Cricetulus griseus: one gene and its partner. The main gene of each other region encodes a partner of the protein of the gene in region 2 in a complex. Links are inferred from orthologs where the notes say so. Each region holds a gene or a part of one and is shown on either strand. Other genes may lie near its edges.

Region 1 (4,301 bases), on a different chromosome or scaffold from region 2:
AAATAGAACTCTGGAGAGCTAGCAAGAAATTCAATTTATTCAAAAGCTTGCCACATAAGCATGAGGACATGAGTTCAGATCCACCGCATCCCCCCAAAAAATCAGCTATGGCAATGCATCTGTAATCCCAGTGTGAGGCGATAATTGTGAGGAGGATCCCTGGAGCTCTCTAACAAGCTACACTTACTTAATCAGCAAGCTCCAAGTGCAATGAGAGTCCCTGCTTCAAAATATTTAGGTGGCAAGGGATTAATGACAACACACAATATTGACTTCTGACCTTCACACATACCTACATACATATTCATGTATACCCACACATGCACATACATGGACATATAACAGAGCTAGAGGGAGAGAATTCTGCATCCTCCCTTCCTTATTCTACTCCTCAGCCATCACCCTTTCCAATTTCCCTCTTAACTAGTTCAGTTTAACCTAATGTGAGGTTTAAAACTTCACAACTTAGGATGCTATCAATTTGCCACAATATTGTATCAAGCAGCACAATCCCATTGATCTTTCCTTCAGAATTGAAGCCCACTCTCCATCATTTCTGAAGTTTGACCTAGGTATCAGCTGTCTACATGGATTTGTGTGATGTTTCTTAAAGTGTGGTCCCTGACAATTCCTGTCTGCACCACTTAGGACCTGGTTGACAATGAAGATATCCAGGCTTCACCGCGGTCCTGTCACTATCACAGAAGCAGCATCACCTCCATGTTAACAACTCCTAGGTGATGCTGAGGCATAGGAGAACAAGTGGATTAGTTCAGCATGTTCTGTGTGTCACCATGATCTATCCTAACTGGGAGTACTATATAAATCTACTCAATAGTCTTCATTATTGCCATCGCTCTGCTCCAGAGCCATCAATGAATTCCAGTTTCCAACCCACAAAGCCTAACCCTGTCATAGCTTCAAAAGCTTTATCATCCAGTGGCAGTGGAGATGACTCAGTGAATAAAGTGCCTGATAAGGATATGAGTTCAGATGCCCAAAATCCATGTAAAAAGCCAAGCATGGGAGTATACACATTTGTCCCCAGTGCTAGAGGAGCATAAAAAGCACATCCTGGGGACTCATTGGCCATCAAGTCTTGCCGAAACATAATACTCAGATCCAGTGAGAAATAGACCCTGTCTCACAAAACAAGGTAGAGAGCAGTAGAGAAAGATACCCAGTGTTGACCTCTGGCCTCCACCTTCACACTCAAATATCAATGCATGCACTCACTTCCATGTGTGCACACACGTGCATGCATGAACAAGCTCCATCATCCAGTTCTGCCTCTCCAAATTGACTAAATTGACTCCAAGATACTCTCCATCCTAGTTTGAACAAGCTGTCCACTTTCTAAGCAGCAAAACCTCCAGGAGAAAATGGCTATTTCCTCTCTCCACATACAAACAAAAATAAAAACAGAAGACTTTGCTGTAAAGTGACTGTTGAGAACACCTCGGAATTCTTCATTTCCAACAATGATTGTATTGGTGCTTTAAAAATACTCATCAAACCCTATTTTGAGAATGAGTCTCAAGGCCACTCTAACTTCCTACTATTCCTAATCTGTGCTCCATACATACTGATAAATTCAGTTCTGACTTTGTATATGGAAGCCCTGCTTATAATTGAGGACTCCGCATAGTTTGCAAGGAAAACCATGTCAATGGGGGGATGATGTGCAAGCCTGTCTCCTCAATCAGAGATGAAATGGATTTTGTATTGTCTACTTTCTATAGTTTTCCACTTACATACCTGTACAGAAAGACATTATTAAGTCCTAAGGGACTTTAGAACTCCTGTTTATTGTCCTTCTAATAGACAAATGTTATGGGCAGCCTACCAAGTGTGCTGAATGTAATACTGTCTCCTTGAATGCTTAGGCCCAGAATTCCTTCATCTGGAACCTGCTGGATGTTTATAGGAGAGTGGCAGTGAGAGAATGCATGAGACCCTACATTAGCCAATGTATCACCCAACAGGGACAATTCATACCTGTGGGAAACCTTTGCAGCTTTTAAAAAATATTTCTAAAGTCAATCAACCAGCCAACATCCTTGACAAGCCTGGCTTCACCAAATACAAAATAGCTTCGAGAATGTTCTTATAAGACCTAGTGGGTTGGTGCACATATACAAGCATGTACACACACACACACACACACACACACACACACACACACAAACACACACCTATAATCTCAGCATCTCAGAGGCTGAGACAAGAGGATAATGAGTTTAAGGCCAACCTGGACTACACAGGAGACCAAAACACTGCTATTAATAAGTAACTCTTAAACCTCCTATTTAATAAGTAATATATCTGACCCACAAAAAATGATTCCTTGGAGCAAAAGTTTTCACCACTAGAAAATGCCCTGTGATAATTAAAATTTATTTCATTTTTTATGACTCTACAGATAAAGGTATATTTTTAAATAACCACTTAAGGAATTCAGACTAGAATACCTATGAGCAGATGTCTGTCCAGTTAGCTACCCTATGGATAACCCACAGAAAGACCCACTGATATAGCCCAGCTATTTTTTTTCTCTCTTGAGCACACTAACCACCCTCCCCAGCACTCTGATGTCACATTGTCTATGACTCACCCCCCATCAACGGATTTGAAAGGAATCTGAGATGAGGGCAGCCTCCTAGCCTCTGAAGCCTGCTCCTTCGTCCACCGTCCATTGTACTGTAATGGGTCAGGAAACTATGTTCCACTTCGGTTGCTCAGAAAAACCCGAATACCATGTTCCTGTTGCCCCTGGGAAATTCCAGTTCTGTGGCTGGCTGAACAGCACGCGTCCTGGTCCAGGCAGCCTGCAGCAGAGAAGAGCACAGGCAGGGTAATGTGAGTGCTACCTGTGGCCAAACAGATCCTCAGACACACACACACACACACACACACACACACACACACACACACACACACACACACACACTCAACACACCACACAAGCGTGCACACACATACACTCCAACTAGCAGACTGGAGAGCGTCCACCAGAGAAGAGCACAGGCAGGGTAATGTGAGTACTACCTGTGGCCAAACAGATCCTCAGACACACACACACACACACACACACACACACACACACACACACACACACACACACACACACACCACACACACACACACACACACACACACACACACACACACACAAACACACAAGCGTGCACACACATACACTCCAACTAGCAGACTGGAGAGCGTCCAAAGTCCACAACAGCCCCCCAGGCCTGAAGTCTGCAAAGTTGCTGATGTCATGCCCTTTCCTAAACTGAGACCAATCAGGGAGCAAGCTTTCGAGTTTATCAGGAAGGAAATATACACTTTGTAACTTTTGGAAAATGAAGGGAGCTGGGCTGTTGTGTAGGAAGGGGTTTGTTTGCTACTTAGGGGCATCTCAGACAAGCCCCAGCATCCAGGAGCCGAGAAAGCCGCTTTTGCAGCAGCTCACAGGAACGGCTTGCAAAGGAACATGCACAGCCCAGACTGGCCATCTGCACATGTGGTTTCAATTTTGCTGGGAGTGTATTATGGAAAAATGTGTCTGTATGTTACAAAAATGCAAGGGATAGTGGAGGGGGATTGAAAGAACTTGTTTTCCTCTTTGGGGGCTGCAAGTTCATTCCATGCCCTATTTTGCCCTTCTTGTACACGTTTTGATTCTACTTGTAAATAACTGCTGGCTGATTGCTGTTAGAAAAAAATGGATCACAGGGTCACCACAGGTGTGCAAAGAGACCCACTATCTTTCAATTGCCAGTTGGTAAGAGCGCTGCTTTGTTAAGGTGCCCTCAGTTTGTCCACATGAGGGTTTAGACTTTCAATCTAGGTGGCTTTTCAGTTTCAATTCTCCACCATAGTCTGGGGTGCTGTTTCCAGGCAATTACAGGTTTGAAAGGAAGCTGTGTGAGTTTGCTGCTTTTCCTGTCCCTTGTCTATTCAACATCCATGACATTCCCCTGCACCATGAAATGATAATGCCGTAAGTCACTTGCTCAGGAAAGACTCCCACTTTCCCTCTCTTGCAGGTTGAGGAGACTACCTTATCTGCAGAAGTCTTTGAACTACTCACAAGCACAGGCTGGGCTCCAAAGGCTGGAGATTTGGTTCCATTTGAGATGTTTGGCTTCTCAATTGAAACATTTAGTAACTAGTTTTAACCACTGCGTGCTGTTTGCTTGTGCTTTTTTTTTTTCAGATAGAGGATGGCTGTGTAGTCTAGGCTGACCTTGAGCACACTATGTAGTCAGGCAAGCCTGAAGCTTGTGGCAAACCTGCCT
Region 2 (4,470 bases):
ATGGCGGGCGCTGCCCGGGTATTAAGTTAGGAAGCGGCGGGCTGGTGGTGGCGAGGGCCAGGCTTCACTTCTGGGCAGGCATGAGGTCATCGATAGCCTGACCCTGCTCGAGCCGCTGTTCCATCTCAATAAGCAGTTTCACTCCGTCCACCACCATTTGCACCAGCTCCACCTCCGAGAAGCCCAGGCGGTCCGAGTTGGAGACGTCGAAAACTCCGCCGACTGCGGCGGTGTCCACACCACCTGGGGGGACAGAGGACAGGCAGGTGGGCAGGACTGAGGAAACCCGAACCTTCTGCCCGCACCTGTGACGACGGCCCCTCACCTGTGCCTCGCTTCTGAAGCCGCAGCCGCTTGAGCACCTCCGAGAACTTCTCGTGCTTGCCCAGGTGGGGCAGCTTGATGTGCACGCCGGCCCGCAGCCCGGTGCCCAGGTTGGATGGGCACGTGAGGATGTAGCCCAGGTGAGGGTTCCACATGAACTCGTAGTTCTTAGACTTGAAGAGATTTTCGATCTGGAGGTGGAGAAGGCAGAGTTCGGAGGGAAGCCTGGCTGGAAGCCCTCAGGGACCCCGGGAGGGAGACGTGGACTCTGGGATCTGCCCCGACCCCTCCCCGGCACCAAGCCCTCAGAGTGACCTGGGTGAGGCCAGTGCAGAATCGGGTGAACACTTCCTTCATGTTGCCCCCCTTCTGCATGGAGATGACCCGCAGGTGGTCCTCCTCGTTGATCCACACCAGGAAAGTCTTGTTATCATTGTGCCTAGGGGAGGGGTACAGTCAAGCCAAAGCGCTCCCCCCCCCCAGTACGGTCTTAGATCTCACCCAAAGACACCGTAGGTAGGTGACCTCAAACAAAGAGCTTCCCAAGTCATGGAGGTGCTTATTCTAGCGAGTGTGGCTGTCACAAGACTCACTCCCAAGTAAGCCCACACTGGAGGAAGGCAGGGCGAGCGGGGAACCACACACACACACACACCCCAGTCACCAATCAATCTCACACTCACACCCCAGTCACCAATCAATCTCACACTCACTCACACACCCCAGTCACCAATCAATCTCACACTCACACGCACACCCCAGTCACCAATCAATCTCACACTCACACGCACACCCCAGTCACCAATCAATCTCACACTCACTCACACACCCCAGTCACCAATCGCGCGGTGTGTGGCTGCAAGGGGCTGAGCAGGGGAGCAGCCCACCCCAGCGGAGGAAGCACACCTCCACACCTCCGCCCTCACAGTCCGCAGGGGTAGGAGCCCAGCGGGGACGGAGGGACGGGTGCGGAGGCTTTTGCGTCACCGGCGCCTGGCAGAGTCCCTGCGGGTCGGGAGTGAGAAGGAGCAGAGAAAACAAGAAGCGCCGGCTCCCGGGAGACCGGTCCCCACCCTTGAGTCCCTGGAGACTGCGGCCTCCCGCAGCGCAGGCATGTCACACCTGCGGGACCAAGGTCACCTGCCGAGGGCTGGGACAGGCTGACGCGGCAGGGGACCAGGAGCGCCGGCCTGACCCCACCCTCCGAGGGCTGAGGCGGGGAGGGCTCGTACCATATGCCGCGAGCATCCGGCCAGTCGCGGGCCATGCCAGAGGCCAGCAGCAGCGGCGACACGGGCTTGTCGAAGAGGAAGTGGTCGTCAATGAGCTGCTGCTGCTCGGCCTCGGTCATGCTCTTGAGCGCGTAGTACCTGCCGGACAGGTCTCCGTCCAGGCTGGACAGGGCTGCGGGGTGCAGAGTTCAAGGCCCCGGTGGGCGAGCGAGCCCCCCGCCGCCGCTCCGCAGGCAGCGAGTGCCCCCGCTGGAGGCTGGACCCGGGACCCTGCCCGTGCCCCGGGGAGACGCGCGCCGGTGACACCCGACCCGACCCGACCGGACCCTACCTTCCACCGCCAGCTTCTCGATGGCGCGGCGCTCCCCGCGGCTGCAGTGCGGGGGCAGACAGAAGCCGCGGATGCTGCGGCCCGTGCGCACCCGCGAGCTCAGCACGTAGTTGGGGTCCAGGTCATCGCCGCCCTGGGGACACACAGTGGTGGCGGCAGTGAGCGCCCAGCCCCCTTCCCCGGCCCGGCCCGGCCCGGCCGCCCCTCACCTGCAGGTTCTCGGGGTTCAGGTCGGTCTTGTGCTCATCGCTGGGCTGGTAGCCGCCGTGCCGGTCCTCAATGATGGGGTCGAAGAGGTCCTTGAACACGTCGTAAGTCTCCTCGTCGCCCGCCACCGCACCCACGGTCATGATGTACGGGTGGCCTGGGGGAGGGGCGCGGCGACACTGACGTCACCGCCAGGCTGGAGCGAGCTGCTGAGGCCTCTGCAGCGCGGGAAGGGGGAAGACCGGACCCCAGCCCGCCGGAGGTTGCGGGAAGGGCAGGGGGACCCTCGTCCTGGGGGTTTGTCGGGGAGACGCGAGCCTGACGCTCACAGGGGTGCGCATACCCGGATTGTCCACGCCGGTCTGAATGGCGTCGTCCAACGTGAAGCCGCTCGGTGTGCACTTGGCACGGAGCTCGGCGTACAGCTCGGGGGTCAGCACCTTGGCCATATGGTTGTTGTGGCTGCTCAGATCGGGGAATTCATCCTCGGCCGGGAAGCGCAGCTTCTGGGTGTTGTGGCTGTTGGAGAAAGGCATGGCGGCGGCGGCGGCGGCGGCGGCGGGCTGCGGGGAAGCGCAGGGTCAGGGGAGCTGTGCGCACCGCCGGCCCCCGGGGACCTGCAGGTCGCTCGGGACCCCCGAGGCTTCCCCCGGGCGCCGCCAAGGTCAGCGGGCTCCGCATCCTCTGCGCCCGTCGCCTGCGCATCCCCAGTCCCCTGTGGGTGCGGTGCGCGCCCCGCGCAGTGCGGCCGCGAAGGACGCCCCGGTCCCGCACCCCTCCGCGTGACGCCCCGCGCGGCCCCCCCTGACCCTGGGACCCGCTCACCGGGATGCCGGACGGAGCGGGGCGCAGTGTGCCTGGGCAGCTCCTGGCGCAGCGCGGACGAACAGCGGCGGCTCGCTGCTCCGGAGCTCTTAAGGAGCGCGTCGCCAGCCGCCCATTGGCGGCTATTTATAGCCCATTCATTCCATTGGCCCGCGCTTTGGGGTGGTGCCGCTGCTTTGTCCCTGGCAGCAGCCCTCGATATCCCCTAGCCGCCCACCCCAGCGATCCCCGAGTCTGGACCCCGGGCAGCTAAGCTATCCCCGCGGCGCTGGCACAGGATAACGAAGGCCCAATCCCTTACTATCCTGGACCTTCCTCATACACACTGCCTCGGGGCGGGAAACTGAGTCTGGAAAGCCAGCTGGTACTGGGGCTCCTGCCTTCCCCTCCTCCTGCCTTGTCTGGCAGACCGCGGTGGCTAGGGGGCCTGTTGAGGGCTTCCAGGTCTTTAACATTAGGGACCGGTGTCCACCCACTGCATCCAGGCCGTACGAAATGGCACAGAGCCACTGACCTTCCTCAAGGTGCCCGCGGGCATCTCCTGGGTGTTCTTTGTGCAGCACCAGAGGCGCAGTCTGGCTGTGGTCCAGCCCCGAAGCACCCAGGGTGTTCTGACATTGGGCGGGATCTAAGGAACCGAGCCAACACCCTTGGACCCAAACCCTGAAAGATTCAAGTCAGTGAGCTCTGAGGGGCTGTTTTCGAGTATCCAAACCTCCATTCCCTGGCCCTTTCCTCAGGGAGCGGTTCCTACCACTCCACCCACAAAGACAGCACCTACAGTCAGCAGGCAAACTGGGAGTGGAGAAAGCATCAGCCAAAACTAAGCTCGCCATTGGGTACCAGCACGCTCAAACAGTCTCTGTCCCCCAGCCCCACACACCCAGGTGTGGGAAATTGTAGAAGACTGACCCCAGACAGTGCCAACTGTAAATTGGAATGTGTGAAGACAGGCGTTTGCACCCCGCCTGCAGCTGCCAGCCACTCCATCTTTTCTGGAAAGTAATTTGGCAGTATTTATTAAAATAAAAAAATGGTCTAACTCCATGACCTAACAATCGCAGGAATTCTAGGAATCCAGCCTGTAGAAAGGACAGTGTCCCTTCTCTGCCAACAGATCTGTAAATGTGCAGTGGGAGAGAGACGGTCGCATGGGACCTGAAGCTCATCTGTGAGATGGGGAGGACACTGGCCGTTGGTAGAAAGGGCGCAGAATGGTGGTGGATGGTGCCGTGGGTAAAAAGCAGACAGCAGACGTGAGCTTTATGGGGCTTTATGGGGCGAGTGAGCCCTCACTCACTCGCGGCTGCACAAATAAAGCAAGAACCAGAGAACTTCTTATCCTGATGCATTTGTTTGACAGAATTCCTCGCTCCTTTCACAATGAGCCAGCCCAGGTACCCAGATGCAATGCGCACGGGGCACAGGATCACTGCCTTTCTGCTGGAGGCGGGCTGCCCCGAGCAAATGAGGAATGAGGGAGGGATGAGGGAATTCCAGGCTTGAGAGAATGTGCAGGTGCTTCAGCAGAAGGCTCTGGAGCAAAGAACT

What was found.
Region 1: the proteins of Ckb (region 2) and Asb9 are in contact, whole or in part, in a cryo-EM structure (PDB 6V9H), measured with the Homo sapiens proteins. The link is inferred for Cricetulus griseus from reciprocal best matches to the Homo sapiens genes CKB and ASB9. Residues at the interface, in NP_001814.2 of Homo sapiens: Asn63, Pro64, Gly65, His66, Pro67, Tyr68, Ile69, Thr71, Arg130, Arg132, His191, Val198, Ser199, Pro200, Leu201, Leu202, Leu226, Trp228, Glu232, Ile238, Met240, Asn286, Arg292, Gly303, Lys304, His305, Glu306, Lys319, Arg320, Gly321; in NP_001026909.1 of Homo sapiens: Leu25, Asn27, Pro28, Leu29, Met30, Gly31, Asp32, Ala33, Val34, Ser35, Asp36, Trp37, Pro39, Glu42, Ile45, His46, Trp60, Ala67, Asp68, His69, Glu75, Ala100, Asp101, Trp102, Val111, Asp133, Leu134, Ser165, His166.

Annotation. Positions count from the first base shown.
Region 1 is NC_048604.1:99,600,712-99,605,012, reverse strand, and holds the start of Asb9 (ankyrin repeat and SOCS box protein 9), read right to left. Parts: upstream 2,818-4,301; 5' UTR 2,697-2,817; coding exon 2,615-2,696; intron 1-2,614. UniProt on the Homo sapiens protein: Substrate-recognition component of a cullin-5-RING E3 ubiquitin-protein ligase complex (ECS complex, also named CRL5 complex), which mediates the ubiquitination and subsequent proteasomal degradation of target proteins.
Region 2 is NC_048598.1:182,359,639-182,364,108, reverse strand, and holds the start of Ckb (creatine kinase B-type), read right to left. Parts: upstream 3,001-4,470; 5' UTR 2,920-3,000; intron 2,658-2,919; 5' UTR 2,631-2,657; coding exon 2,438-2,630; intron 2,252-2,437; coding exon 2,097-2,251; intron 2,021-2,096; coding exon 1,888-2,020; intron 1,729-1,887; coding exon 1,557-1,728; intron 764-1,556; coding exon 640-763; intron 516-639; coding exon 326-515; intron 244-325; coding exon 65-243; 3' UTR 1-64. UniProt on the Homo sapiens protein: Reversibly catalyzes the transfer of phosphate between ATP and various phosphogens (e.g. creatine phosphate).